4 linked regions of the Lepisosteus oculatus genome follow. The protein of the gene in region 1 interacts with the protein of each later gene in a pairwise test. Links are inferred from orthologs where the notes say so. Each region holds a gene or a part of one and is shown on either strand. Other genes may lie near its edges. The genes, in order: lnx2a, 5-phosphohydroxy-L-lysine phospho-lyase-like, nmd3 and c4h10orf88.

What was found.
Region 2: the proteins of lnx2a (region 1) and 5-phosphohydroxy-L-lysine phospho-lyase-like interact in binary tests that used the Homo sapiens proteins (3 or more experiments, as listed by UniProt). The link is inferred for Lepisosteus oculatus from reciprocal best matches to the Homo sapiens genes LNX2 and PHYKPL.
Region 3: the proteins of lnx2a (region 1) and nmd3 interact in a two-hybrid assay, tested with the Homo sapiens proteins (3 studies listed by BioGRID and IntAct). The link is inferred for Lepisosteus oculatus from reciprocal best matches to the Homo sapiens genes LNX2 and NMD3.
Region 4: the proteins of lnx2a (region 1) and c4h10orf88 interact in binary tests that used the Homo sapiens proteins (3 or more experiments, as listed by UniProt). The link is inferred for Lepisosteus oculatus from reciprocal best matches to the Homo sapiens genes LNX2 and C10orf88.

The regions. Positions count from the first base shown.
Region 1 is NC_090700.1:5,626,298-5,633,297, reverse strand, and holds the start of lnx2a (ligand of Numb protein X 2a), read left to right. Parts: upstream 1-3,994; 5' UTR 3,995-4,176; intron 4,177-7,000. Other genes in the region: si:ch211-140b10.6 (protein POLR1D), read right to left, coding at 187-261, 3,586-3,611.
Region 2 is NC_090706.1:30,013,240-30,020,561, reverse strand, and holds the start of 5-phosphohydroxy-L-lysine phospho-lyase-like, read left to right. Parts: upstream 1-4,312; 5' UTR 4,313-4,846; coding exon 4,847-4,947; intron 4,948-5,312; coding exon 5,313-5,431; intron 5,432-6,477; exon of another isoform or gene 6,478-6,599; intron 6,600-7,003; coding exon 7,004-7,163; intron 7,164-7,322.
Region 3 is NC_090708.1:5,929,967-5,937,669, reverse strand, and holds the start of nmd3 (60S ribosomal export protein NMD3), read left to right. Parts: upstream 1-4,682; 5' UTR 4,683-4,762; intron 4,763-5,885; 5' UTR 5,886-6,001; intron 6,002-6,007; exon of another isoform or gene 6,008-6,127; intron 6,128-6,552; 5' UTR 6,553-6,569; coding exon 6,570-6,613; intron 6,614-6,893; coding exon 6,894-7,028; intron 7,029-7,249; coding exon 7,250-7,346; intron 7,347-7,703. Other genes in the region: ppm1lb (protein phosphatase, Mg2+/Mn2+ dependent, 1Lb), read right to left, coding at 3,194-3,592. UniProt on the Homo sapiens protein: Acts as an adapter for the XPO1/CRM1-mediated export of the 60S ribosomal subunit.
Region 4 is NC_090699.1:27,695,331-27,702,698, reverse strand, and holds the start of c4h10orf88 (ATPase PAAT), read right to left. Parts: upstream 3,013-7,368; 5' UTR 2,414-3,012; coding exon 2,274-2,413; intron 2,003-2,273; coding exon 1,802-2,002; intron 1,687-1,801; coding exon 1,614-1,686; intron 1,212-1,613; coding exon 1,011-1,211; intron 903-1,010; coding exon 466-902; intron 1-465. Other genes in the region: adam9b (disintegrin and metalloproteinase domain-containing protein 9), read left to right, coding at 6,942-7,008. UniProt on the Homo sapiens protein: ATPase that regulates mitochondrial ABC transporters ABCB7, ABCB8/MITOSUR and ABCB10. Regulates mitochondrial ferric concentration and heme biosynthesis and plays a role in the maintenance of mitochondrial homeostasis and cell survival.

The sequences.
Region 1 (7,000 bases):
CCCCCTTATTAGTCCCTTAAACAGGGACATTATGAAAATGGCCATCTGTTTAAACACTTCTTTCTTTATTTGACAAAACTGAGTATTTGATCAAAATTGGTCAAAATGGTGTGGCAGGTTATTCCTGCCAACTGTGGCAGGGAAGTCCCAGAGCACAGCACACTGGCACATGTCTGTGTGTCTTACCAGCCAGCAGGGCCCATAGTCTCTGCCCGGATCCTCCCTCGCTTTGCCTCGTTGAGAAGCTCATCCACAGCTCTCCTATTCAGGAAGAAATCATAAAAAAGGCTTTTATACTGCAAGGCTGTACTGAGTGCTCAACCTTGCTATAGACAGCAGCTCTAAAGACACTGTAGGCAAAGTGTTACAGGGATCTCCAAATCAACATGTGTTACAGAATTTTAGCAATACCAGTTATAACAACTATAAATTTGCACAGCCAGCGTTAAACATTTATGTTATAACTAAAGACTTGCTTTACAGAGTTTAAGATGGATAATTTAAGTTTAACTTAGCTGTTGGGGGTGCAATATCAACCTCTTTTTCTAATATTAAAGCTTGAGATGCAGGTTATAAAACTGTCAAATGATTCTGAAACTGAATGAGGCTGTGCTTTTGTCTCACGCAAATATATTTTTTGGGTTTTGCTAAAGCTATGAATAAAAGGTACGCCAATCTGAATTCAAGACAGACCTCTTGTTCTCTCCAATGCTGCAATCTGACACCACGCTGAACTGAATACAGGACCCTGGTTTTGAGCCAGCTGTTTCACACCATCTGTTATGACACCCATCAGTGACAGGGCATACCAACTGCTGGGCAGCTGTCATCCTCTACCCCAGCACAATGTGCCCCAAGTGTGGATCTGCCCAGCCTGCCTCCTCAGTACAGCCCTCACTGGCAGCGGGGGTGAGTTTATGGCTGAACAGTGCTAGGTGAGCTGCCACCCTTAAGCATTGCGATTGCACTCCAGCACAGCCACAAAACATTTTATATTTCACCGCAAAGTATTCTGAAATGTGCAGAATTAGTACAAATGCTAAATAGATAGATAATACTTTATTAATCCCATAGGGAAATTGATGTGTTACAGCAGTCCAGCCCAAGACAAGCAAAACAGACATCAGAATAGTTATAAAACAAAAGACAAACAAGATAAATAAAAATAAATACATAGGTGTGTGCAAAATGTGCTGATCATAGTCACTGTAAAAACAATAAAATATGTGCAAAATGTGCATAGGTTTATACAGACTGATTGTCCAAAACGTACAATGGAGCAAACATGCTGTCCATAGAGGAGCAAATGAAGGGCTAACAGTCCTAGCCTAAGGCAGCGTTATACACCCTGACAGCTGGAAAGACAGGAAAGACATGCGGAAACGTTCCCTTGAACACCGTAGCTGGAGCAGTCTATTGCTAAATGTGCTCCGCTGCCCAGTAACAGTCCCATGAAGAGGACGAGAGGTGTTGTTCATGATGGCTGTGAGCTTGGTCAGCATTCTCCTCTCAGCCATCACCTCCATGGGGTCAAGGCTCATCCCCAGCACAGTGCCAGCCTTCTTGATGAGTTTATTGAGCCTATTTGCATCTTTTGTCATGATGCTGCTGCCCCAGCACACCACAGCGTAGAAGATGGCCGCCGCCACCACTGATTCATAAAAAATGTGTAGCAGTGTTCCACACACACCAAAGGACCTGAGTCTCCTAAGAAAATAGAGTTGGCTCTGACCTTTCTTGTACAGGGCGTCAGTGTTACCAGACCACTCCAGCTTATCATGCAGGTGTAAATGGCCGCCTCTCAGAATAAATCTAAACTTCGACCAATAAAAATGGCGCACTAGGTGCTGGATGGCAGGTTTTCATTGAGTAGAAGCAGGAAATGTGTCAAACAAACGGCCACTGTCAAATATCAGGAATGGTGCTACTGACTGGCCAGCGGGTCAAAGCGTTGAATAAATTCACACCTAACACTAATTTAAACTGGTTTAATAGCAAATCACAATTCCGTATTTACTGCGATACTGCAATCAATGTGTAACAATTAATTTGACAAGTAGAAATGTTTTATGAATTGAAATTTTGCTTCACAAAGCTAGAGGGCTGTAATTCCAAGACTGACCTATGAAGTGCTTGCTGTGGCAAAAACAGCCGAAAAGCAGAACACAAAGCTTCCTTCTGGGAGTCCCAAGACATTCTCTCTCACCCCTACTTATGAATCAGGTTTAAGGAAAACATGTCATTTAATCTAGTGTGGCAACATTTAACAACTACAGTATTAAATCATTCTGGCCTGGCAAGCAGTCAACTACTTTATACTGAGCTGTATAAACACCGAAAAGTCAGGAATATGGGATAATTATAATTATAATGTTTTCTAAACCACCACAAGGACTATATTTACAATGAAAAATTCATAATGAGCTTTTGCCCTGACATCTTTGCCCTTTGAAATGCAGAATCTGTGCTCTGACAGCTACATCTGCTCTTGTCAGCAGTTCTTTTCTAAGTTTGTTTTGGTGGATTGCCATATGGAATAATAATATAATTTACTCATTCCTTCTTAAAAAAAAAGAGAAATCTATTCACAGCTGCATGCCAAATTGAAATTAGCATGTACAGCAAACATGATATGAAGCACCATTGATCTAAAGTGAAAAAACTTCATCAGCAGCAGGTTTTCAGGAACATATACACTACATTCTCTACAGCTTTATATTAATTCATTCTTCTCTTAAAAAATGCACTAAAACTGCTGAAAAAATAATTCGAAAAAAATCTGTTACATATCATTAATGATCTTCCAAATTCCACTTCTTAAGACTGTAACGAACTTCTGTTCTTAGTTTCATTCCATGGAAACTGTCTAATTAGTTTTGACTGTTAATGTTGTACAAAACTGTGGTTTTACCCATAATAGGTGACAACGTAAAAAAATGTCTGATCTTCGCCAGCTTCCGAGCGGTGATCATAGTAGTGTGCGATACATATCAGACATGTATAGTTACTAACAGCTTACCTCAACCTTTTAGTATGTTCTCCTATTACACGTGTAATAGAAAATTCATTGAATTATTGAGCAATGCACAGGACGTTTTTTTTAACGTGAGTATTTAATAAGTTCAGACGATCGGTATGGTTAGTCCTGTAGTAAAATATTTTATTAGAGTATTATAATAAAATGAGCAAGGATCAACAACACAGTAACAGATCAGCCAGTTCATTCAACGTGTTAAGAATTGAAGAACGCAACATTAACAAGCTCTCGGGTGGTATTACTAGTAATTTATTCCGTTGTAAACAAACTGATATATGGTAAAGCGCTAACTGCAAGTACAATAGTTCACTAAGTGTTTCGTTAATGATTTTTGATTATTTCGAATTACTCGTATTAATATTAAAGTCATTGGAAGCATTAATTACAGCACATTAAGGAAGCGGTACTGATGCCGTGATCAGCACAGTACGCAGTGATACCTGCTTCAGCCGACAACCAGCGGCCGCGGCTCCAACTCTTTCGAAACCAGCACGCTGTTTCAACATTTAATGTTCAAATCTGTCGACATTTTCCACCGCTGTACTCACTTCTCCAGCTCTCGATCCTCCTCCATTTCAAATACCACACGCCGAGACGAGACGAGACGAAACGAAACGACAGCACTCAACGCCGTCTGCTCCAACTTCCTAAACAAGAGCTTCCAGGACCAGTAGGACCCCTCCGCGATTGGTGCCCTCGCAGATGCCGTACTGCGTCGCCAGCGCTAAAATCGCACTGAGTGATCGCAGAAAAGCATTCTTTGGCCTACGTGGCGCTCAGATCATTTTTTAAAGCGACTTCTTGGTGCGGCAGCCATGAATAGGCGGTGCTCCGGGGAGCGATCGCTTAGCAAAGCACCGAGGCGGCTGTGTTTTGAGTCAGGCGCTGTGAGGGGGTGCAGGGCGCTTCCTGCTACCATGACATCACGCCGGCCCCGCCCCTCTCCGGTGAGCTCTGGGCAGGAGGGCGGGTGGGGCGGTTCTCCTCCCCCGGTAGGCGGCGAGGGCGTCAGTCCGCCGTGCGGTCGTGCCCTGTGTGGCTCAAGTGAGTTTTGATTGAGCCGCAGAATTGTCCCAGGTCCGAGCTGGAGTTCACAGAAGGGCGGCGGCGAAGAGGGGGTGGTGGGCACGCTGTAATAGGTAATGTACTGCGGTATTCATTTGTTCGTCCGGTATGCGTTTAAAATTTTAAAATAAGAATGTCGCCGCCTCCGCCACGATTCGAAATAGTTACTTTGTTCAGGAGGACAGAAAAAAAAACGTGAATTTTTTCAAAGTGTCTCATCGTACTCTTCTTGGGGAGTGTAGTGTAAATTGTACTGCTTGTCAATAGGCGGATATTATTTGATAATACATGATCTGCATGTGTTACTTACACCCCCTTTCTTTAAGTGAACGTGATGGATGCTTCGCTTAGGTGACAAGCCGTAGAAAACAGCTGTACAGTCTGCTATGAACAGTGAGCACTTTCAAAGATGTGTCCATGATTTGAGGTACAGTTCTTTGTTGCCGTACAGTATATAGGTTAAACGAGCAGCGAACATAGTAGGTAACAAAGACATTTAGACGAAATATCGATTTCAGTGCTCAATGTTAAACGCCATCTGTATCAAATTCCCCGGTTCCTCACTGGCATTCCTGCTGACAGATCTGAGACGGCGGACTCAGTGCACGCTTTCCTCTGCGTTGGTTGCTTGTCATCCAGCCACGGTGGGGGCACCCCTTGAGTTTCAAGGAGAATGACAACGACTTTGTGTGAACAAAGCAACACCTAGAGAACAATAACTGTTGGTGGACTTCGCTTTCCCTACTTCGACGGCATTGTCTAGTCGCAGCCTGGTGCCGCGAATGAATTGCTCGGAGGATCAGCGTTCTTTGAAATTCATGATGCATGAAAAGCACACGCTGGGCACACCTTATAGCAGTCATAATTTGTCTGTGTTTTAAAATGTGCGGTAATTGTGTCATTTATCTGAGGTGTAAAATGCAAGCCTGCATGCTACACACAGTGTGGCCTAGATTTTCTGAAATATAGTGTGCTCCCAGTGTATAGTGTGCACGCTCTTGCACAGAGACTATAAAAGATGAATTGAACTCCAAGGCTTTTCAGGTCAGTGCACCAGATGCAATATATATATGTTCTGGCTTATATAATGGTATTTTTCATTTCAAGCTCTGTACAGTTGCACTGATGTGGTGTTAAAAGATTTAGCGACCTAGTCCTGGCAGTTTGCGCTCTCTCGCAGTCCTACAGGGTGGTGAGGAGCGCGGACAGAGGTCAGACATCTTGTGTCGGATTGGAGCCTCGGGGTGCAGAGGGCAGATTGGTGTCCGCAGGGCAGTGGTCTCTATGGGGACAGGCAGCTGTGGGCATGTGAGGAGGCTGTTCGTGTGGACAGACGCCCCATGTGTCCACTAACACTAGACGAAAACCCAGTGACCATTTCCGCCGGATTCCTCCAACATGCAGCGTGGATTTAGAGTAAAAGTAACAGATTCCCTGGGAGAACGAGAGACTCGCTGGAGTTATCTGGCATCGAGCTACAGCTGCAAAGTAATTTGTAGGTTGTGTGACAGTTGTAAAACAGATCTTACACAAACTGGTGTTTAAATTCAAACTGCATGCCTGTTTCTCTGAAGAGCCTGGCATGAAGCTTGGGCCGGGTGGTTTGTCTTGAGTCTTGCTTTACTCCGCTCAGAGTTGAACCTTGCACAATAATGTAGGGGAAGAACAAGCCAGGAAAACCAGGCTGTTGATATACAAGGCTGGTTTCATTTCAGAATCTTTGCCCTTGCTGCTGTCACAGCCGAGCTTTGACGGCGTGGTACGCTGTTTTATCACAAAGAAGCACCCTGCGAAAGAACCTCCGCTGCTACCCATAAGCATAACATTCCACAATAGGTTGTTGTTCTGGAGGAACAAATGCTTTTTTTTTTCTCCAGTTTGTGCGAGTCAAAACGCATTTTTGCAGCGTGACCTTGTGCCAAGCAGTGGAACACTTGTCAGGCTCTTTGGCTCTAGGAGCTCAGCACTCCTCTTTTGCCAACATGTGTCTTTTCCACTGACCTTTCCACCTGAAGCCTCCTGTAGCGATCAAGGCAGAGCAGTTTTTTGAGGGCAGGCCGTCTGAACAGCCGGGCTGGGTAGCTCCCTGCATCGGCTTTATCTGGTCAAAGAGATCTCAGGTGACATTGGAGCTGCTAGGGGGTGGCAAGGAGAGAGGGCTGGAGGTCTGGAACGTATACAAGAGTGTTCTGGGCTCAGAATGCTAATGAGGACATGAGTCTTGTAATCCTGCTTCCTGCACAGACCCACTGTACGCAGTGGTACATCAAAGGGGTCCGAAGTGCAATAAATCATCTCTAATAGCAATGAAAGTGGTATCACGCGTTCCAGTCAGTTCTAAGTCACTCTTTGTCAGGTCCTCTTCATCATTAATCACCTTTGTCAGGTGCTCTATTCACATCCCTTATGTTGAGAAAACTTCTTTTTATGCTACAGTTCATTGATCTCCCAGGATGAACTATTAGCTATTAAAAAATTGGGTTCAGTTTCCATTGAAAATCGTCGTAGGAGTGTGTTTCTGCAAAAGATGGAAAAGCACTTGAGTGAAAGGAGAAGAACAATGCAAAATGTCTAGGAGAGTATGTAAAGCCAGGATCCTGTTGTGATTCTTCTGCAGAGCACATTATTGAGCACAGCTTTTCCTCTGTTGTCTCAATATGTTGTTGGGGATAAAGGTATCTGGAAGATCAATGTCCATCGTTACTATTAAAGACAGTTTATTGCATCAGTTATTGATGCTGTGGGATTGATTGACTCCTTGTCTCCGGATTGCCCTAATGGTAGCTGTCTCTCGCAAACCACATAGCTGGAATCTGGAAGCCAGATTTATGTTTACTGTGCTACTCTTCCCCCATCAGACTGCAGTCAGGATTCAGCTATTCATTTTCATTAAACCTA
Region 2 (7,322 bases), on another chromosome or scaffold:
AAATGGCTGACCCTGCGCTCTGACCCCCAGCTTCTCTCCCTGTCTGTGTGTCTCATGGAGAGCAAGTTGGGGTCTGTGAAAAGACAAATTCCTAATACAAGAAACTGTATATGGCCAATACAGTGATCTTATCTGATTAAGATTAGAATAATAGTCCCAGCTGCCTGATTAGTTATACATTGTTTGGATTCACGTAGCAACTTGGATACTGTAAAATTCACACCGTCTGCTGTTGCAATAAAGCCCAATCCATCATACAGGACCCCAGCCATCCCGGGCACAGACCGTTGGACTCCAGCCCAGCTTCGACCCTGCTGCAGACTGCAGTGGCTCACTGCAGTCTGTAGTAGATTTTGTTATCTACTACTGCATATTTATTGTTCTGGTCGTTATAGTTTATTCTAATTGTGGTGTTGTCTGCTGTACTGTGTAGGCAGATTGGCACAAATCAGAATTCCAGTGCCCGTGTGCATATGGCAGTGAACTCCTCTACTGTATTGCGGATTTGTAAGCCCATCGCTATTACTGAAGTGTAACGAATTGACAGGTTGTATTAATCCTTCGGCAATGTCCTCTTTCTCTGACACTGTATCCTTCCACGGATCGGGTTTTGTAGTCCTACATTTCCCGCACTCAACACCTTCAGCTAGAAATCTTTCCATGCTCTTTACAAGTCACTTCATGTGCAATTTCTGATTTCTCTCTTTTTTTTCCCCTCCCGGATACCTAGGCGTTGCTCTGGAAATGTCCGTGTTCTCTGCCTTTGAAAAATCTGCCCCTCTTAGAGGTGCCCATGGCAAACTACGGAGCAGTTGCCATAATTAATGTCCGGTACAACAGAGGTCATTCTGCGTTAACATGTTTCACATGTGTCTGACCAAGTGCAGAAAGACAGTGCAGTAACGTGAAGGAGTAAGGAGCTTCTGCAGTCTTCCTCGACTGATACACGTGTCGCACCGATTGGAAATCCGGGCAAACTACGCATTTGAGTAACCTATTGTTTTAGCGATGTTCCTTTGTTGGCAACCAGTCTGCACTGATAAAGAACAGAGCGAACTGAGCTGAAATAACAGCCACAAAAGACGTGGCTTGAGCAGTGAAGCCCAGGTTGGAGCTCTCCTTGACACCCAGACGTGCTTTGAACTTCAATTTGCCCCAGGCGCTGAGATGAACAGCCCTGCTATTTGCCCTGATAAGCAGTCAGTGACACTGGCCTGACATGTCCTGACCTGTCACCCAAAAAACTCTACGCTCCTGGTGTCTCACAAACCCAGTCCACTGGATGATTCTTCAATGGCAGGCTCCTCGGTTTCTTTAATGACCAATTAACAAGGATTAGGAGCCTCGCTTCCCCAGCTGGGGCGTATTAACAGAACTAACAGCGCCACCTACTGTACAAAGAGTGCTTCACTATCAGCCTAGAGAAGGACTGTATCACACATACATATATAAATGTGAGTAAATATTAGTTTTAGATATAAATACCGAATTCTGCACTACACCGAGAAGTTGAAAAAAAATGGTTTTCCCACGTCAACAATAACATCGTTTCTATTAAACTTGATCGCTTTAAACTGATCAGGAAATGTATGCAGTATAATTAAACTTCAGCCAACCGAAACGTTGTGTTTTCTCTCTTCCCTTTTTCAGCATGGGATAAACGTTTTACTTGTTCCGTTACATATATTTCAATTTATCTGGGCTTTTGTCAAATTTTCAATGAATTAACTTTCTGTTTTATGTTCTCGCTTTATTATAGTGAGGTTAGTGTCCCCCAGGAGACAATGTACTTTTTACAACACGGTCCCAGTTTTGGATCAATTTCAGACATTTCGTGGCAGTACAGAGATGAATTCCGAGGTAGGCAGATTTCTAAGCATTTCTAACAAATGTTTCAGCCAAAAAAAAAAATTTTAAGCAAAACGTTGTGTTTCCGCCCGGTTTCGAACCGGGGACCTTTCGCGTGTGAGGCGAACGTGATAACCACTACACTACGGAAACTTGGTGACAAAAGTCTTATCAATTTTGTTTACTAACCTTACCCTTAACCTTACTAAACTTACCCTTAAGAATTTTCGAATCAGTATTAGCGTTTCAGTCCATGAGGGCTTCACTCAAGATACAGACAGTTTTTGGAGCGAAAAATACTTTTAAAACAGGGTTTGTGCCAGAAATATGTAAGGTGTTCATCTTTCCACGAAAAAAAAGAAAGTTTTGGGGTCCCTGTGACCAAAAATATCGCTAAAATTGGGAGGCAAAATATTTGCGCGTCTTCTCTCTCATTGGAAGAACTCAGATAATAATAATAATAATTGCTTAAACTTATATAGCGCTTTTCTGGACACTCCACTCAAAGCGCTTTACAGGTAATGGGGTCTCCCCTCCACCACCACCAGTGTGCAGCTCCACCTGGATGATGCGACGGCAGCCATAGTGCGCCAGAACGCTCACCACACACCAGCTCTCAGTGGGGAGGAGAGCAGAGTAATGAAGCCAGTTCAGAGATGGGGATTATTAGGAGGCCATGATGGGTAAACCAATGGGGAAATTTGGCCAGGACGCCGGGGTTACATCCCTACTCCTTTCGAGAGACGCCCTGGGATTTTTAATGACCACAGAGAGTCAGGACCTCGGTTTTACGTCTCATCCGAAGGACGGCGCCTGTTTACAGTATAGTGTCCCCGTCACTATACTGGGGCATTAGGACCCACATGGACCGCAGGGTGAGCGCCCCCTGCTGGCCCCACTAACACCTCTTCGTGGAAAGATAAAACTACTTTCCACGAAGCGGCGTATGACGAGCTTTTCAGAGACCGGTTACCCAAGCGAACCTTTTTTTAATCAAAAGTGACTTTACCGTTAATAGACATGGCGGTGTGATCATGAGTGTCGCATAGAAACTAGGGAGAGAAATTAAAGCACAGTTCACTGATACGTGAAAGATATTAACCTGAAAAAAGCAGCTTCTAAGGGTCCCGAAACAGCTGGGTTTCCGTAGTGTAGTGGTTATCACGTTCGCCTCACACGCGAAAGGTCCCCGGTTCGAAACCGGGCGGAAACAGCTCCTGTTCGTTTTAAATTTGAGTATTAAGTAACTGTTTACTTTTTAAGAGTATTAGTCATGTATCTGACGTATGAATTATATTCGGGATCATAATTTCCGGGATGATAAAAAGTTTCGTTGTGTGCGGGTGAAACGTGCTGAAATGCCATGAAGACGACTAAGTGTTCCCATAAGTGTCACGGAGGTTTCCGTAGTGTAGTGGTTATCACGTTCGCCTAACACGCGAAAGGTCCTCGGTTCGAAACCGGGCGGAAACACGACTTTTTGCTTGAAAGTTCTTGCAGAAAGTACCTTTTTAAAATAGCTTTGAACTGCATGGCGAAATACTGTACCTCTGTCCCTGGTGAAAGTGGTCCTTTGTCAAAATTCCAGTGCACTGCTGTCGTTTTTGAATGACGGGAAAATGTCGTCCGTTTAAAATTATTCCTGTTATTTTCGCCAAGAATAGAGAACACCGTATATAAAAAGCTTGTCAGGATAAATTTCAGGGCGCACAGAGGATTCGTTTCATGAAATTAAAACGACGTTCAACGGATACTAGCCGTGCATTTCAACGGATGCCTCTATGGATGCCTCAGTGCTTATTTAAGACCTAGAGACACACACTACAGCGGGCGATAAAATGTGTTTCCGCCCGGTTTCGAACCGAGGACCTTTCGCGTGTTAGGCGAACGTGATAACCACTACACTACGGAAACCTGCTTTTCCATTACTTGATTAATTGTAAACTGCCATTGGTTTGGTGGTCCTTGCCTTTTGAAAGTTTTAAACCTCTGTGAAATAATGTGACTCGGGCATTGTCAGATGCACGATCTGTAGTGCCGGACTCTTCACCTGCAGGGAGCCCACAAGACGGGGCGTATCATACATTTCTCCAAAACTGGTGAGTGCAAATGGCCTGCATCAACATATTGTTTTACAGTTTTTATTTTCCCCAGTTGTTCACTTCTAAACATTTTCAGTCATGTCGTTTTTTTGTTAAGCACGACTTCTAAAACAGTGGCGTCTTCGTTATTTTTGAACGCGGTGTTGAAAGGTTACACTAAGTGTTCGCGTGTTGAATGGTACGAATCTGATTAAAAAACAGGGAACTCAGTTTTCGTTATAATTGATTCTGTATCATGATTGATTCTGAATTATGTATCAATGCATTGTTCTTTTTCCTATCATCAATGTTACTATATTTGCTACTTTTACTAGAATCTACATCTCCGAATGAATTCATGCCTCGTAACCGAAATAGTTTACTTAACGTTACGAGTGTATTATCAGTGAATAGTGTTGGTTATTTTAGCGACAGATTGCTGTTTTGGCACTTCACGAAGTCTCCAGCTTAGTAAAGCTTGTAAAGAAACTTTGGACTTTTCAAAGGACGGATAGGAAGTATTTTTCGACTGATTAATGCGCTACAGAAACTTTGAATAGACTTTTTCTATTCAAATTTAGTCTATTTAAAATAAGAGTTTTAAAGGTTGAAAAGCAAAAAATATTTGGCAATACAAAATACAAGAAAGGAGACAGAATATTGAAACAGAAATAGACAGCTGAAGGTTTAGAAAATTGGACATAGGCCCTTTGTCTGCGTGACGTCGCATAAACTGGCAGTTACCAGGTGAACGCTGGGAGGCTGTCATGTGACCGAGAGGGGCGGCCAGGCTCGGTGGGGCGTCTTCCTAGGTACTGCGCATGACTGTGACGTAGCCGGGAAGAAGTTTGCAGTCCGTGGCAGGTCTCAGCTTGACGTCATACGCGGAGAGGTTTGACGGGCAGCAGTAGTGATTGATGTTCCAGGAGTTTGTAGAAACAAAAAGTCTCGCAAAAGTGTTGACCATGGCGCTCTACAGCAAAGAAGACACATTAGCGATGCGCAAGAAGTTGATTGGGTGAGTGCATAAAGAGGCTGTCCATCTAGTATTAGCCTGAGCGAAATATTCCCGGACTCCGACGTTAATTCCAAAGGTTGGAAAATGCTCTTCTATAAAAGTTCATATCTGAACGACGGCGATGCACAGCACGTGCTTTTAAGTAACGCCCTCCCTGAGAAAAAAAAACAAGTTAAAAATCCCTCAGAATGTCACACCTGAAGAAGGCTCCACGGCCGAAATGTTAGGTTTTCTTTCTTCTTTTTTTCATCATGGAATAAACCTATTACTTGTTCCTCAGATGATGTAGTACTGGTCAGGGTGTAGGTTGTGCTCTTGTAAAAGTGTTCAGTCTGCAGAGCGGACTCACTGTCACTTCCTCCCAGCTCGTCCTGCCGGCTGTTCTTCTCCGAGGAGCCGGTGAAGATCGTGAAAGCCCAGGGACAGTACTTGTACGATGAGAAGGGAAGGCGCTACCTGGACTGTATCAGTAATGTCCATCACGGTAAGGCAGCGTTGAAACCACTGTTCAGGTGGACCGTCGAAAGCATCTAGCCGTAACTGCATGAAATAGTATTGAGAACTAGTGTGGAATTCTGCCTTTAAAAACCCTTTCTTTGATGATTAATCAAATTAAAGTATTAGGAATCTTTGAAACATTTTCAAATGGTGCTTCCAATTGCAGAAATGCTGCATGTCACCGTTGAGAATGCTAGTTAAAACATTTATTTTCAGTAGCTGAAATGTCCACTAACATAAATGGTTATCCCAGCGAGCGTGCCGATTTATTTAAACTGAGCATCCAGGAGAGTCCAGCGCTGATGTCATTCTGCCTCAGCCGGTAACCCTGGCAGTCCAAGTCACAGCTGTTTATACATAAAAACACCCTAAACGTGCACATCCACGCAGGAAAACAAGGGATTATGCTGGAAATTGTTAATGTAATATCCTGCCAATCCCATGCCTCTATAAACCAGATATCTAAGCACAGCACAGATGATCATTTTTCAAATGATTTGCAATCATTTGTGTACGGCAGAATTTTGCATGATTGCTTGGGTTGCTTAGTTGCCATCCTCTTACAAAAGTCACTAACAGTAGTGCTGACTGTCACGAAAACAGCAAACATATCACCCTGCAACTCACAACTGGCAACCCACTGAAGCTCAGCAGGTGTGAGCCTGGTCAGTACCTGGATAGGAGACTCCTGGGAAAGCTAAGGTTGCTGCTGAAAGTGGTGTTAGTGGGGCCAGCAGGGGGCGCTCACCCTGCAGTCCATGTGGGTCCTAATGCCCCAGTAGAGTGACAGGGACACTATACTGTAAACAGGCGCAGGCCTTCGGATGAGATGTAAAACCGTGGTCCTGACTCTCTGTGGTCATTAAAAATCCCAGGGTGTTTCTCGAAAAGAGTAGGGGTGTAACCCTGGCGTCCCGGCCAAATTTCCCATTTCCCAAATGGCCCTTACCAATCATGGCCAACTAATAGTCCCCCTCTATGAAACGGCCTCATTACTCTGCTCTCCTCCCCACTGATAGCTGATGTGTGGTGAGCATTCTGGCACACTATGGCTGCCGTCACATCATCCAGGTGGGGCTGCACACTGGTGGAGGGGAGTCCCCCTTACCTGTGAAGCGCTTTGAGTGGAGTGTCCAGAAAAGCGCTATATACGTGTAAGCTATTATTATTATTATTATTATTATTATTATTATTATTATTATTATTATTATTAAAAATATGCTTAATATTGCTATTACAAATTAAGAATTCAATTCAGTTTATTTGTATATAGTCCCTTTCACGACAAGGGTGCCCCAAGGCACTTAACAAATCTGTGTGTGACAATACATGACGTATTTAAGAAGATTAAAAAAGTAATTCAGATTAAGAAGAGGTTTATATATCCTTTCGTTGGTTTTTTTTTCTTTCACGGAGTTTGTAATAGTTGAGTCTGTTGACAGCTGGACATTATTATTATTTTTTTTGTCGTAAACGTCTGACCGGCTTCGGCGCCCCAGAGGGGGTGGCTTGGGGGTCCGGGCGGACTCTGACCGCGCTGTCCCTGGCTCTCTCGCAGTGGGGCACTGCCACCCCGCAGTGGCGCAGGCAGCGGCCGCGCAGATGCAGCTGCAGAACACGAACACCCGGTTCCTCCACGACAACCTGGTCCAGTACGCGGCGAGACTTTCGGAGACGCTGCCGGAAAAGCTCCAAGTCTTCTACTTCGTCAACTCTGGGTAAGACAGGCGGCGGCAGACCGGAGCGGTGATTGAACTGTGGGTAAGAGGCTCGCTTCGGTGTCTGTTCAGTGTGACTGTGGCGGGGTACCGGTCTACCGATGGGGCCAACCTTTCCAAACTCCCTGTGTAAAAAAAAAAGGAAACGTACTTTCCCGA
Region 3 (7,703 bases), on another chromosome or scaffold:
AATCAGTTATCTTTTTACCTCAAAGAGAAAAATAAACAATGAATAAATACTGATCATTGAGGTTACTTTATCAATAAATGTTATTGATTTTCTTTTGCTTTCTTGTCAGAAACCCCTCAAATTGCAAAATACACATGTGCAATCCTTAGAATTTAGATCCTGTGACATTTAGGTGTTATATTAAATGTAGAACAATATGAATGTCATTTTATTGCAGAACAAGTTCTGTTCTGGTATACGGCACCTTCAAAACCTACACAACATGACATGATCCTTCTACCTGCACAACAAAACTTTAAGAACTTGCGTCTTTAGAAAGGCTTTCCAAGATTGAAGACAAGGAACGATGGGAGCGTTCAGGATTCTCGCCACGTACTCTGGTATCAGTATGGGGACGTCAGCTGATCACACAGCTGTGAAGCCACCCAACATGGGCAGAGCTGAGGAGATTTGGCAGGGCTTCGGCATCATGCTCAATTTGCATTATCATCCACATCGCTGCCTAAGACCAATCAAGAGGAAGCTGGCCACCAGCTGAGAGACTCATCCAAGCTAGTACATCCACAATGGTGCCTTCTTCCTGAAGAAGGCTCCACAGGCAAAAGGTTGAGTTTCTTTTCTTCCCGTTTCAGCAGGGAATAAACCTTTACTTGTTCCTTTGCAGCCTACGCATGCTGACGCAGCTCCCTACTTGAACTACTTCATCCATAAGGGTGTGTGATTATCAAGCAAGAAGATTTCTAAGGATGGTCAAGGGAAATGTTGAAATAGGAGTGACTTCAAAAAACAAAATAGGAAATGTTCTAGAGACTGCACAAAAAGTGCATGGACATCTTACTTTTCAGAATGTAATCAAATTCTGCTCATAATCCACCTGAATCTGACCCCTGATCTCACCAACATTACAGAAATCCAATCTATATTGAAGTATGAACTCCCTATAGGGAACCTGTTACATGCATAACATTATAATTGAAGGCATGCATTATAGTGTATGCTGCCATGGAAAATTACACAATGGGGATACTGTGCTATAAAAAGAACTGTATAAATTATAGTTTTTCATTTATTCAGTTTTACCTTCTTCCCCATTTAGCTTTGGTTAATTTAAAAAAGTTGAATACTATTCTAAGGATTTATCTGCACGGTTTATTACTCTGACTAAACGCTAGAACTTTGATATGTCAGCATTTAAAATAACACTGGCAAATGTCAAGTATTGTTTAAAGAGCATCATTCACATGGCACACTGATGTAGTTATCCTTTAAGGATCTCTCTTTGCACTGAAGCAGACTGTCACCTTTTCTTCTTCAAGGCACTGAAAAAGGGCACAGTGCTTTTCTTGCATATTTACAGACTCTTTAATACTTCATTAACATTTCAGCTGCATTCTTTGTGTTGCAACATAGGCGAAACAATACATTACTAATCTGTTTTTACACAGTACCAAAGGCATATCCTGAGACACAGTTTACAAGAACCTAAGCACAAAGCCTAGAACTATTGGAATGGTGAATGGGAAACTGAAGTTGTTTAGGCTGCTTTCTAGAACAGGAATTGCAACTCAATTATGCAATTATAAGTATTTTTTGGCTTGCTTGTTAGATGACATTGTCATTTCAAAATAAAATATTAGTTTGAAACAGCAAAACAAATGCATAAGAGAGAATCGAAAACGCCCAATGCAAACGATTTCAGTGAACATCGAAAAAAAAGAAACACTAAATAGTCCTTTTACATACTGGTCTTAACTGGACATCAGGATATAATTTTAAAATTCACATTTTTGGCCGGATATACTGTACTAAGTTTTTTTTTTTTTGCAGTCGTTGGTGTACTCTACATTTAGTAACAGTTTTACGTGAACAAGAAAATACGTTTTTTGTGACTCCCAAAAAGCTAACCTGTGAGTATTCAAGCTTATAATAATAATTATTCTACAATAATAAATGCAATTGTTTCAAAGATAACCGAATTTTTCTTCTTACACTAGCTTTAACATTGACTCAGGACCCATCTCTTCCAGCATAACTACTTTATTTACTGAAAAGGAAAAACATAAATTACCTTAACATAAGATTAACATAATTTGAGCACACTATGGGTGAGAAGCACTGCCTTACCTTTTCACACGTGTGTATCACTGTACATCTGCTTATGTTAACCCACCGTCTTACCCTTTCAATACTATCTATCCTTAAGTGACACCAGAAGACAAAGTAGGAACTTTTGATTTAAATTGATGCACCATGGACACTATTATGGTGGACGTATTATGGATTTTAGGTACCTCTATGAACGGTACTACATTGCAAAAGGGTGATGAGTGTCTTAAAGGCTCAGACTGTAATCTCAGATTGTTCAAATGTATTTGTATTAATTCATAGCTCATTTTTATGGAATAAACCATAGATTAATGTAAAAATAGAACAATCCCCTACACGTAGATCTTTTCAAATCGTCTATGAGAGCTTCCAGGGGAGCTACAGTGTAATCACTCACTGAATTACTGTTTAGAGCTTTTAAATACCGTATTCTTTAATTAAATTAGTACCGCATATTCCAAGTGAGGCGCTGTTAACCTGTTTTCCACCATTTTTGCGACATGCCCGGTCTGACTTAATTTGAGGCGTGCTACACTACAGATGGCTCTCTGTCTGATTGGTCTGGTGAAAGTGAAAATTTTTAAAATGCACAGGCATTTGGGAGCTGGCTCGACTCTGCGAATTTACTGCCCGTCGGTAAGAAAAATAAAATGTAGTACGACTGGAGTACTTTCCGTAGCCCTAACCCCGGCGCGGTCAATAAGGTGCGATTGCAATATCAAATCCTGCCGAGTATTTACACATCAAGACTAAACAAATATCTATTTCCCGAATAAATCACAATTCAGTCAGGTGTGTGGGTGGGAAGCTTATATAACAGATTGTAAAGCAGAAATTTATCAACGAGCGTGTCTCGCCGTGCTCTATCACTTCGACGTCCGACACACAGTACAGACGGATGTGAACTGCGGCACAAGCGGGCTAAGAATACGTCCTGCGCGGCTTTAAAAAACTTGAATCACGCCTGGCGATAAACACGGCATGAAAACACTGAGCACGTTACATTTTCGCGGGTGGGTAAGGGGGAACCGACCGTCTGTCGGCCCGGCAGCAGTTTTCATTCAGAGCTTAAGAAGGACAGTTTTACCTCTCCACCGTGGCCATCGAAAATGCCAAATATGGATGGGTGGCTCCTGTTGACATAATCGGTAATGACTTCAAACCTATCTTCCATGTGATCTCTCCTTCCCTGGATGGAGTAGACCGCTACGTTGTGGTTTTTGAACTCCCAGGTCTTGGAGAATTCCGCCTCCAGGACATCCAGACCCCCGAGCCTGTCGTTCTGCATGATCTCCGCCACCTTCCCCTTGACCATCTTCACCGCATCCCTGCTGGACTTGACGATGGTCTTCACCTCGTCCGTGTGGAAGAAGTAACTCCACAGAGCCAGGCTGATGCACAGCAGGAACAGGGTCTCTGGTCTCAGTAAGAAATAACGCATGATCCTTCCCAAAAGAGACAACAAAGTCATTGTATCTTCTATCATTTATACACGCAGAAACGCGACTGACGACAGCTCCTCCACTCAAAATTTCAGTCCATACTTTGGAGGGCAAACAGTGATGATGGTGATAATAATAATAATAATAATAATAATAATAATAATAATAATAATAATAAAAATCAGGGTCGATTCACCAGAAAGCTGCGCATCCGTTATGTACAAGTGATTATGCAGCAGTAGCGGTGCTCAACACGGGATCCGAAGACGCTGCAGAATCGGTGTCGGTACCGCTGATGTTCCCTAAAACTGTAGCCAAATGCCCCACATTGAAGGCTGCCATTGAACAGTCTTGCCTTTCACGCAACCGAGACCCCTAGGAGACGCCGCTCCAACCATGTGCGCGATGCGGGGCAGTTAAAGGACACGGGGACCGCCTTCCGAGAGAGGCTGCTTCCGAGCCCCGCCACTGACAAGCGAATTGACGACCGCCTGCACGCCGCCGCCGCCGCTCTCCGATCAGCACCTCCTCACACAAAGCGAGCGGCCAGGCGCCGCTGCAGCATTCCCCTCGGTGGACCCTACCATTCGGGTCCGGGCGGGGTGGGGCGCTCCGGAACCGCGGCGCTCAGGACGGGGCAGGCGACACGGGGCACAGCCGGGCTCCTGCACGCTCCAGCCCGTGACCACAGAGAGAAGGGGTCAGAGACCCCCCCCCCCCGTTCACGGATCACGGGGTCCCCGCCGCCGCCGCCTGAGAGGTCGCCCCCCTTTAAGTTTTTTTTTTGTTTTGTTCTCCCTCGACGGGCATTTTCTACGGGGAACCCGTCCTACGGCTAGCGAAAAGGCACAGACAGAATAAAACGGGAGCGGACTCCGTATCGGCAAAGAGTTTACGGGGGGGAAGCGGAGAGATTTGCAAACCATCTTTTCATCTCAAGTGCATATCCCCTCCCACACACACACACATTATAACTCATTAATTGTTACAAAAAATAAACCTGACGGGACATTTAATTGATTGTATCATTGGCGGGTATTTAAATACTAATAGTGTGGAGAATTGGAAATGGTGTTCGCCGGGGAAAGTCCAATCACACTGACATTAGAAGATTTTTGCCACCTGTCAGAGTCAGTCTCGCAGTATCTGCACCATTACACTAGTCTCCAGGAATTCAAAGACTTCAAAAATATGATGATACATTGGAAGAACCGGTCTGTATAGTAATTACTCTTTATATAAAACAACGGTATATGCTTTGGAATGCATTTAACCATAATGTTAAACTAACTTCACTTTTAATCGAAAGGCTGTTTTAGAACAGGTTCGAATTATATGCTTTCATTGAAAACAATGTAACTTATTGTATTGCTATGATTCTCTCACCAAAGATGATCATTTAATATTCTCCATTCTCCATTCTTTAAAACCTCTGTCAAATAAGAAGGGTCGTTAATGGGTTTATTAACGACCCTATTCACGTACAGGTTTATAACGTACAGTATTCACGAAGGTAACATAAAATAAGTACACTTCTTCCAAGAAACTTTCTATTATCACTACTCTTAAATCAGACAAGTGATTATTACAGTACCTTGTAGATTGTATACCATTCTACAAATAGGATTTGGATGATTTGCAAATAGGCAAGTGGAGATGACTTCAGATTATGTTTGCTGCACTATACAGTGTATTTTACATTACTACTCTCCGAATAAAACAGTGACTGGACACTCAGCTCCCTCTACAATAAATAATGTAGAATGTCTTACTTATCCATGGGCTGTATCTAGAGGGAACTCCAATAGAAAAGCTTTAACTGGTACAGAATATACCAGTTACATGTTTAATTTAAATCATTAAATCACCAAGAAGTCAAATGGTGAACAGTTTAAATCAGTTCATGCCAATACTAATTCCTACTGCAAGGAACTGGAATTTCCCTTAAGGATATTATTCATATTATGCAGCAAATTTGCTTTTCAGAAAATATAATCTACCAAAGTTAAGGCAGAAAAACACAACAATGACATAAACTCCAATAATAATCTCGAGTGAGATACCTGAAACTTTAAACTGTATTTTCTATTTCAAGAGATGTTCAAAAAGCATCAAAACTGAAAAAAGCATCGTACCCTGTACTTTCAGAAATTTATTTTTATTTAATATACACCAAGTTTAGATAAAGTATCTACAATTTGGAGTAAAGAATATTAAATGTTATATAACCACTAGTAAGCATGTGAATGTGCCTTTTTACATTATTAAATAAATAGAAGCATTTTTAAATAAATCATTTTTATTCTTTTTCCTCATACCTGACAAACCTGGAGACAGGCGCACTTCTAGACTGCTATAATGAGCACGTAGGGGTCTTTTCACTCCGGCTAGTTGTGTACTACGTCATCAGGCTGTCTTGTGGCTTATGGACAACGTGCAGGGCTGAACGCGTGGTGAGTGAAGACAATTCAACGAGATGAGCATGCATCTTGTTTTTAAGATTGTTAAGTGACACTTAAGTTAATGTAACTCAGCTTGAACAAAATTACTGCTAGGAAGATAACGGCTGTTATTTTGAGGTAAAAGAAGTTCAAGTCGATGTTCAAGTGAATGCGTATAGTTCTGGTTGAGAGAACTACTTAAATTGTGGTGTGGCACATAACTACTTTGAATCGTGGACTATTCTGTCTGCTTGTCAAGCACTTTAAACATTTTTAACTTAATTGCAAATTGTTTAAAAATATTTAGGGAGTGTCACCTCTTAAATGTATAGCGTATTCATTTTGCGATTATGCGATTGGAGGAATTTAAAGAGATATGCAGAATGTGACTTTAAAATGGGAGATGGAAATGACTGAAAATGCAAATAAGCAACCAGAATTCTTTAAAATTGCATACCATGTTTTACTCAGAAATAACAGATATACATTTTGCTTCTCATACTTTAGGTGTATGGGCTGGTTGACGTATTTTTGAAATATTGTATATTATTTGTCCGTTTAAGAGAGAGAAGTGAAGAAGATGGAGTATATGAAAACCCCAGCAAGCAACATTCAGGGCAACATGTGAGTATCGAAGACATGCGTGTGTATTAAAACATCAAAAAGAAATTTGATAGTACAGGGAGATCAGTCCAAGGAAATGCTTTCTGGCAACAGCTGCATGAGAGCAAATCAGTGCATCAGCAACGAGAGTACTTTTGAATAAATCCAGGTTTAATCAGTTTTATCTTTCATTGGGGATAGTTGTTTTAAAGCTAAGTCTGTTAGAAACAAGTTTGTTTTTTGTTTTGATGTAGAATGACAGTTGTTTTACATGAAAATATTTCCCTCTGTTCTCATTTAGTTTGTGCTGTGAGTGTGGTACCCCAATACCCCCGAATCCAGCCAATATGTGTGTTGCTTGTTTGCGAACTCAAGTTGACATCACTGAAGGGATTCCGAAGCAAGTCTCTGTTCATTTTTGCAAGCAGTGCGAAAGGTGCAATTTTTTGTTTTTTCTGTTTTTTTAAATTGTCCAGTTATAGTTCAGACATTTGTAATGTGAGAGTTAATGGCAAGAAACTCAGGCTGTATTGTCACTTAACTGTTTAATGTGTTCACCAGTAACTAGTTTAAACATAAGCGTGATCAGAATTCTATATGTAGTACTTTACCTTAACTACATTTCCAAGTGAATATGGTACTGCATTTTTTTCTCAGGTACCTTCAGCCTCCTGGAACATGGATACAATGTGCTTTAGAATCCAGAGAACTGCTTGCCTTGTGTCTCAAGAAACTGAAAGCATCAATGAGTAAGGTATATAGATATGGTAACTTACTTTGGGTCCTGGTTACATCCATAGTGTATAGTTTTAACTCCATCTGTCTCTTAATTAACACTGTTGTTGTGATAATTCTCATTGATGTTACTGGTTTTGAAAGACATGACTGCAGCTGATAAGATGAAATGTTACAGCTCATTATATATATATAAGATTACCTGTGGTTATTGATTTGGTATACTAGAAATGCCTGAAGAAATATGTCATAACTGTTTTTTTGTCTTGTGAAAGTTGATTTAGTATGAATATAAAATATGCTGGAATATACCCTTCAGTATAATTTATAATAGAGGGGGGTTTTCTCAGTTAGGGCAGTACCAAATAGAAACAAC
Region 4 (7,368 bases), on another chromosome or scaffold:
GCTGAAAGGAACAGAGGCCAAGAGTACCGACGCCAGCTCAGATAGATCACTCACACTGTTGAGAACGAGGAGGATTATACATCGGCCACCGACACTAGCTCCGCTGCTGAACCCGACACAGACCGCGCTCCTAGTGTTAGCAAGCGTCGGAAAAGGGCTACAAGGCGGTACGATCCAAATTATCTAAGTGCTATTTTTATTATACGTATGTGTGCGTGTGTGCGCACGCTCATGTTGGTCATTGAGATTCTCTGGGGTTCCTATGAGAAGATGACTTGTAGGTGGTACTTGGATGCTTTGGTTTGATCAGGGGTGGTACTCGGTCCAAAAAGTTTGAGAAGCACTGCTCTAATACATTACAATGGAAATGTTTGACATCTTGAAGAAATCATGGAAATGATTATAGGCTAAACACATCTTTAAATAGATCCTGTAACAATGTACCCATATTAACTTCATACTCACTGGAGCTCTGAGGCTGGCTTGTTCACAGGTATGCTGTCCTCAATGCGCAGCTGTGTTACCTGACCACACACGCTCTGTAGGACAGGTAGCAATTCAGGGCTAAAGCTACACTGCTTCCTCCTGGCCTGACCGTTCAGAAAGGATGATATCACATCTGTATATATCTGTTCAGAAGAATTAGTATTCACTGTTGGAAGCTGCTGTTCTCCAGTGGCTGAAGTCTTATCTATGCAGGTACTATTCACAATGCTGGGAGCATCAGCACTTTCTGACTTGCTCTCTTGGGCAGGCAGTGGATCTGTGCACTGGATGTCCCTGGAGGTGTGCAAGTCTGTGTGTGCTGTTGATCGGGACTCTGAGCCTCCTTTCACCAGAGCTGCCAGTGGTCCACTGCCCAACAGAAGAGGCAGAAATCCCCCCAGGGCATCAGGTTTATTCTGGAAAAATGAAAGGTGTAGTATTAGTCTTCATGTAATGCAAGCCATCATAAAACATTCTGCTGAACTCCTCACACTTGCAAACAGCCTTGTGTTTATATCCTCTACCTCCTGCTGAAACTGCACCATGTCCATGAGGTTCTGCGCTCCGGGAGAGAGGGTGGTACCCATGGACTCCATCATGGCCCGCACACGCTGCAGGTCAATGCTGCTCCCCACACAAGGGGGGCTCCCCAGTTTCCCAGCAGGCTTCACTCCCACTACGATCCTACTGATTCCCACTTTCTTTTTGCCACCAAGAGACAGCAGCTGAGCAAAGAGAAACACACCAGTTAAAAACACTTCAGTTTTATCATCCCATAAAAGAGCCAACAAAAAAAAACAGCAATGAAGTGTATTTGGGGGGATGTTGATGTAGAAAACAAAACACAAAAAGCGGTTTTGTGTTGAGATTGATGACATGTTTTAGTCGGTACGAACTTTACTAAACACTAATAGACAGTTTAGGTCATTGCAATCTCAGTAAACACAACCACAGGTGACGCTAATCTACGTCCTAAAACACTGATGGATACAGATTCACAATACAGAAACAATAAAGAAGTAATATATCCTCAATGGCCATGCTGCTAAATCATTTTTTTTTGTTTCCTGCTCCTCCTGTTTACAGATAACTTCCAACAACATTAGAGACACAACGTAGGAACTTACCTTCACTTCACAAGATCTAGAAGGACTGTCTAATTTTAGTTGTTTCCGATACAAGGAAATGCTGTCGCTAACACTGAAAAGACAAGAAAAAGATCCCCGAATGTTTCTTCCGATCACGCTGCATTTCAACCGTTATCAGCGATCACATTAGTAAGAGCGGTTATCGAGACAGAAAAGCAAAGGCGCACCCGTTGATTTGCAGGCTGCTAACTCGCTCGCCTCGGCAGGTACCGCAGTACTCGGACCCACAATACACTTCCATGGTCCGCGCTTCACTCACGACCTGCAGCCAGGCCATGTCAGAGCAAGAGCCGGGGGCGCACTGCAGTCGCAGCTCGCAGGGGAGCATTTCGTCCTCGGGGTCCTGCTGTAGGAACACAGGAACGGTCCTGCACAGAAAGACGAGTACAAACCAACACTGCGCTCAGGTACACTGATGAAAAGCAGCAAATTGTCCAGAGTCGCACAGTGTGAATACTTCTCTCTCATAAACGTTGGGGGCGATAATCTAATTCTTACACAAAAGCAAAAGATAACATCGGAACTAAAAGAATAATTACAAGATGTAAACGTTTATTTCTCTCGGTTACACTTTACAGTGTAAAAAAAGCCGATGATATTGAATGACGGCCAAATGCTTAGAAATTAGAAATTACTTACTCGCCGTCTTCGGGGTAATCCCCAGGGTTGTTCCCGGTTTGGAGAGACAAGATGTCTTCATGAGAAGACGAAGAGAAAACCCAGGACGAGTGCGCCGTGACCAGTCCATCTTTACTGCCGATCACACACTGCCTGGCCATCTTTGGTTAAAGTAACCAGACACCGTCCCTACTCCAGTCCGTGACTCCCAGCATGCATGGTTCAAACAAACCGAAAGCTAATACTACTTTGGAAAATCCAAATAAAAGAAGGAAGGATTTTAAACCTGATTATAAAATGTTACTTTAAAAGGCAAGAATCTCTTTCCTTGACAGCGGCGTTCAACATGGTTTCCTGCTGTTTTGGTGCCGATAACCGTGCTTTGACTCACACAGAAACCTAAACGTTATTTACCTTCCACTTTGTAACCTGTCATTACTCAGCATCGCCGACAACCGAAGCAAAATAATGAAACTACCCAGCGATTAGTAAATTATTAAAATCTCAGTCAGTGATTAAACCTGGGTATTGTAGTTATCTCACCGTTAAATATCTCACACCGATTAATTTCTCTATCAGTAAAGACATTTTTAAGTTCATTTTAGCATAATAAGGTACATCTTTGCATATTATCACAGAAAGAGACCAGGCGAAGTTAAACCAGAAGAAAACAGCTCACTTAACAGATTTACTAAAATCATCAGAGCAGCGACACCTCTCCAAAAAGACCCAAATCTATAGGGTGTCCATAGCGCGCCTGAGGAAAAAAAAACAGCCTGATCGGTGCCAGCTTCTCCCTTTTCAGTCTTAACAGCTCAACAAGTATTAACATATATGTCGGTAAATATTAAACTTTGTGACGTGACAGGATGTTTGCACTTCTGTGTGCTCCTTGCACTTCTGTAAGCCAGGTCAATTGGAAAAAGGGGAAAAAACAGTAAAGTTGTACAAATTGGCCAACCAGTAAAACATTTAGATTATTCTTTATTGCCACACAACAATAGTTGGTGGAATTTTCTATTGGTACAGCAAGAACACAGATGAGACATGCATACTTTACAATATATACAGTACAAATTTAAATAGGACAGAAGACGGACAAACATTGTCACATACATATATAATTTATAGCCAGCCATATCACCCTGCAACTCACAACTGGCAACCCACTGAAGCTAAGCAGGTGTGAGCCTGCTCAGTACCTGGATGGGAGACCTCCTGGGAAAAACTAAGGTTGCTGCTGGAAGAGATGTTAGTGGGGCCAGTAGGGGGTGCTGGATGGGAGACCTCCTGGGAAAAACTAAGGTTGCTGCTGGAAGAGATGTTAGTGGGGCCAGTAGGGGGTGCTCACCCTGTGGTCCACGTAGGTCCTACTGCCCCAGTATAGTGATGGGGACACTATACTGTTAACAGGCGCTGTCCTTTGGATGAGAGGTAAAACTGAGGTCCTGACTCTGTGGTCGTTAAAAATCCCAGGGTGTTTCAAGTTTCCCATTGGCCCTTACCAATCATGGCCTCCTAATAATCCCCATCTAATAATTGGCTTCATTACTCTGCTCTCCTCCCCACTGATAGCTGATGTGTGGAGCATTCTGGTGCAATATGGCTGCCATTGCATCATCAATTTGGATGCTGCACATAGGTGGTGGTGGAGGGGAGTCCACATTACCTGTAAAGCACTTTGAGTGGAGTGTCCAGAAAAGTGTAAGCAATTATAACGTGTATTCATAGTTCGTATGGCAGTGAGTGGGGCAGAAGCTGAGGTTGAAGTGGGCAGTCCTTGAGAGGAAGGATTTGGAACGTATTCCAGAAGGGAGAAACTGAAAGAGATTATGAGTTGGGTGAGAGGGGTCAGAGATGATTTTCTTGGCACGATTGGAGTTGTGGCTTGAATAGAGAGATGAGATAGAAGGGAGTTCACAGCCAACACTTTTTGCAGCTTTGGACACAATCCTTTCCAGTTTGCCTTTTGGGTAGTTATCCAAGCTCCCATACCAGACTTTAATAGAGGTTGTCAGAACACTTTGGATTATGGCTGTGTTGAACTGAAGGAGGAGTTAGCGGTTCACTCTGTGTTTTTTTGAGTTGCCTTAGAAAAAACATCCTCTACTGTGCTTTCTTGACTATGTGGTCAGTGTTGGTACTCAATTTAAGATCACTGTTTATATATGTACCCAGAAATTTAAAGGAGTTTGTGGTCTCTCTAGGAACATCATTAATAACGATTAGACGTTTTGTGTTCTGGATGCGTCGGAAGTCAACAATGTATTTCCCTGGTTTTAGAAGCGTTGAGTAGAAGGTCATTGTCCAAACACCAGGCTGTTCCCAAGTCAATCTGCTTTCGATAACAAGTCTCATCATTATTCGAGATGAGTCCAAGTGAAACTACAGCTCATTTGGTCTGGACATTTAACTGCTTTAAATGAGCTGGACATTTTTTTTCTTTACTCTTATGAGCACATTTAATGTTGTTCGATACCCCATCTGCTTGTGTTATAGTTTGATTCATTGTTACATGTGGCAGGATTCTTAATAGTAATTTGTTTTTAATTATTTTGCTAAGTTTGAAGTGTTTTATTAGATAGCAACCAACATTTTTTTTCAGGTGTTAATAGCATGCAATGAATAACATCTAATGCAGATCTATGCGAACCGCAGCTCTTCAGTGTGCCGTATTATTTAATTTTTCTACAAATGTTGCTCTTTAATCATATATGTAATTAGTTATTAGTATCAGTACAGCAGTTTAAGAGCTGCTTATATGAAAGTACTGCAATTTAAAGCATTGGAATGGCCACGAGGTTAGTGGTCATGATCAAGAAGGAACCTTATGAAGTTCACCATTTGTCTGCTCTTTGCCTTGATTTAAAGCCTGCTACAAAATATTTAAGATGGTATAGCTATTCCATATTTTCTTAAGCTATAATAATAATAATAATAATTGCTTACACTTATATAGCGCTTTTCTGGACACTCCACTCAAAGCGCTTTACAGGTAATGGGGTTCCCCTCCACCACCACCAATGTGTAGCATCCACCTGGATGATGCGACGGCAGCCATAGTGCGCCAGAACGCTCACCACACATCAGCTATCAGTGGGGAGGAGAGCAGAGTAATGTAGCCAATTCATAGAAGCTACTAGGAGACTGCCATATTGTTATTCTTATGTAAAAAACAGTTGTGTAGCTCACCAAGTCATCTGCTGCAAACACGAACAGATACTTTTTTAGGTAGTTAAATACTCTCCTGCTACTATGATTTCTTTTCAGAACTCTGCTTTACTTTCTCATATGGATTTTCTTATTTATAAGTCGGAGTGCGTTGGCGCCCACTGGTGGCTATGTTCTGTAATTCCACCTTTCTCCTGCTGACTTGACAATTCAATTCAAAATACTTTATCCCCAGGGGGAAATGTAGGCAGTAAGAGGTGAAACATACAGCATATAACTAATACAACAACATTACAAAGAAAAAATATACACATAAAAATCAACAAACGGACCATAAATGTAGTTGAAATAACAGCGTGTATTAGTTAAGAAGGTATTGAAGTACTGTACTGTACACATTTGTAGACGGTGCACTGTCCAATTGACAGCCTATATATAAAACCTCTTTACATTAATTTTTTGCAAATCTGATGGCCTCTGGAACAAAGCTTACTCTCATTTTATTTGTTTTAAATGTGAACGCCGAAAAGTCTTCATGGAGGCAAAAGATCAAAAGGCTGATGAAGGATGTGAAATGGCTCTTCACTGATGGCACAGATCTTCCTCAGGCTCTCCTGGGCCAGAGGTTTTACAGGCTTATCAGAGTTTTCAGAGCTGAGCTTCACTACCTGCAGAAACCGGTTCTTGTCTTTTTGACTGAGTGAAGTGAAGCAACAGATAAATGAAAAAGGTTTAAATACTTTCGATAAGAGCTAATAATTCTGTATTAACGGAACTGTTCTGAACAGTATATCATCTAAAGCTCGACCATCTCTGAAGGGCGGAAGAAACCCAGTTCGTCATTTTTCATTTTCGTGTTTTACTACATTGTAACGCAACGGGGGCTCAGGCGGGCGCCCTTGCCGTATTAGGTCGACCCCCCACTGCCGGGACTCCCGCGTCACTCTGCAGGGACCCAGGCCGGTGAGCCAAAGAGAGATCTCTCTACAGAGCACTAGCTGTAGTCCTGCTATCACAGGGAAGGGCGGTGACGTCACCTGCTCTGGTACGCCGGCTCTTACAGAGTACCTGTCGGCCGTAAGCGTTACAATATGTATCAAGGACCATTATGGAACTGAAATAAGGTTTAGGTTGTTTATTGTTTTAAACGTACTTCAAATTACATTTCATTCTTCGCTTTTGATAGTCAATAATTCTCTGGCAAAGAAAATAAGTTCAAAATGATTTTGATCCTTGAAACAGGTTGGCAAGTTTTCTTCCGGCATAATATGCTGCGGGATATTCTATTTTATATAAACCGGTGTTACCCGTTCTACATTCCTGTTGCTAATTACAAATTGTGTTCAAAGGCCATTGTCAGCGCCTGATCCAGTATGAGCTGTCTCTAGCACACTCACTGTACTTTTCCAATTACAGCGGCACACTCCCACCCGGAAGACAGCACCTCACCTAGAAATCTTCTGTTCACTCTGTGCCCTTTTAACTTAATGGCATAGAAGCACTGCTGGATTATTCATAATGTTAGAACGAAGTCTTTTCTTATTCTCCTTTTTTATTTGTTTTATAAATCGAAGTCAAGCTACAGGTAAGACAACGTTCCAAATATATTCATTAAGAAAATCCTGTCCAAATTAAACAGTCCGAGATTACAGTTATCATAAAACTACAGGTAAACTTATCATTTAGACATTAAGATGTTCTTATTTTTAGGCATGATTAATAATGACTTAATTTGTATTAATCACCGTGGCAAATATTGTGTATTCACTAATTAATTTTATATGTTTTATTTACAGTTATGGAAAAGCGTAGTTTCACTTCAGCCATGAAATCTGATCTCTAAATTTAAAAGAAGTGTAACAGGTGTGACCAAAAATTGGTCAATCAAAATTGACTTGGGGATTATTTTCTGAAATACTGAAATATTGTTTTTAAACTGACAATG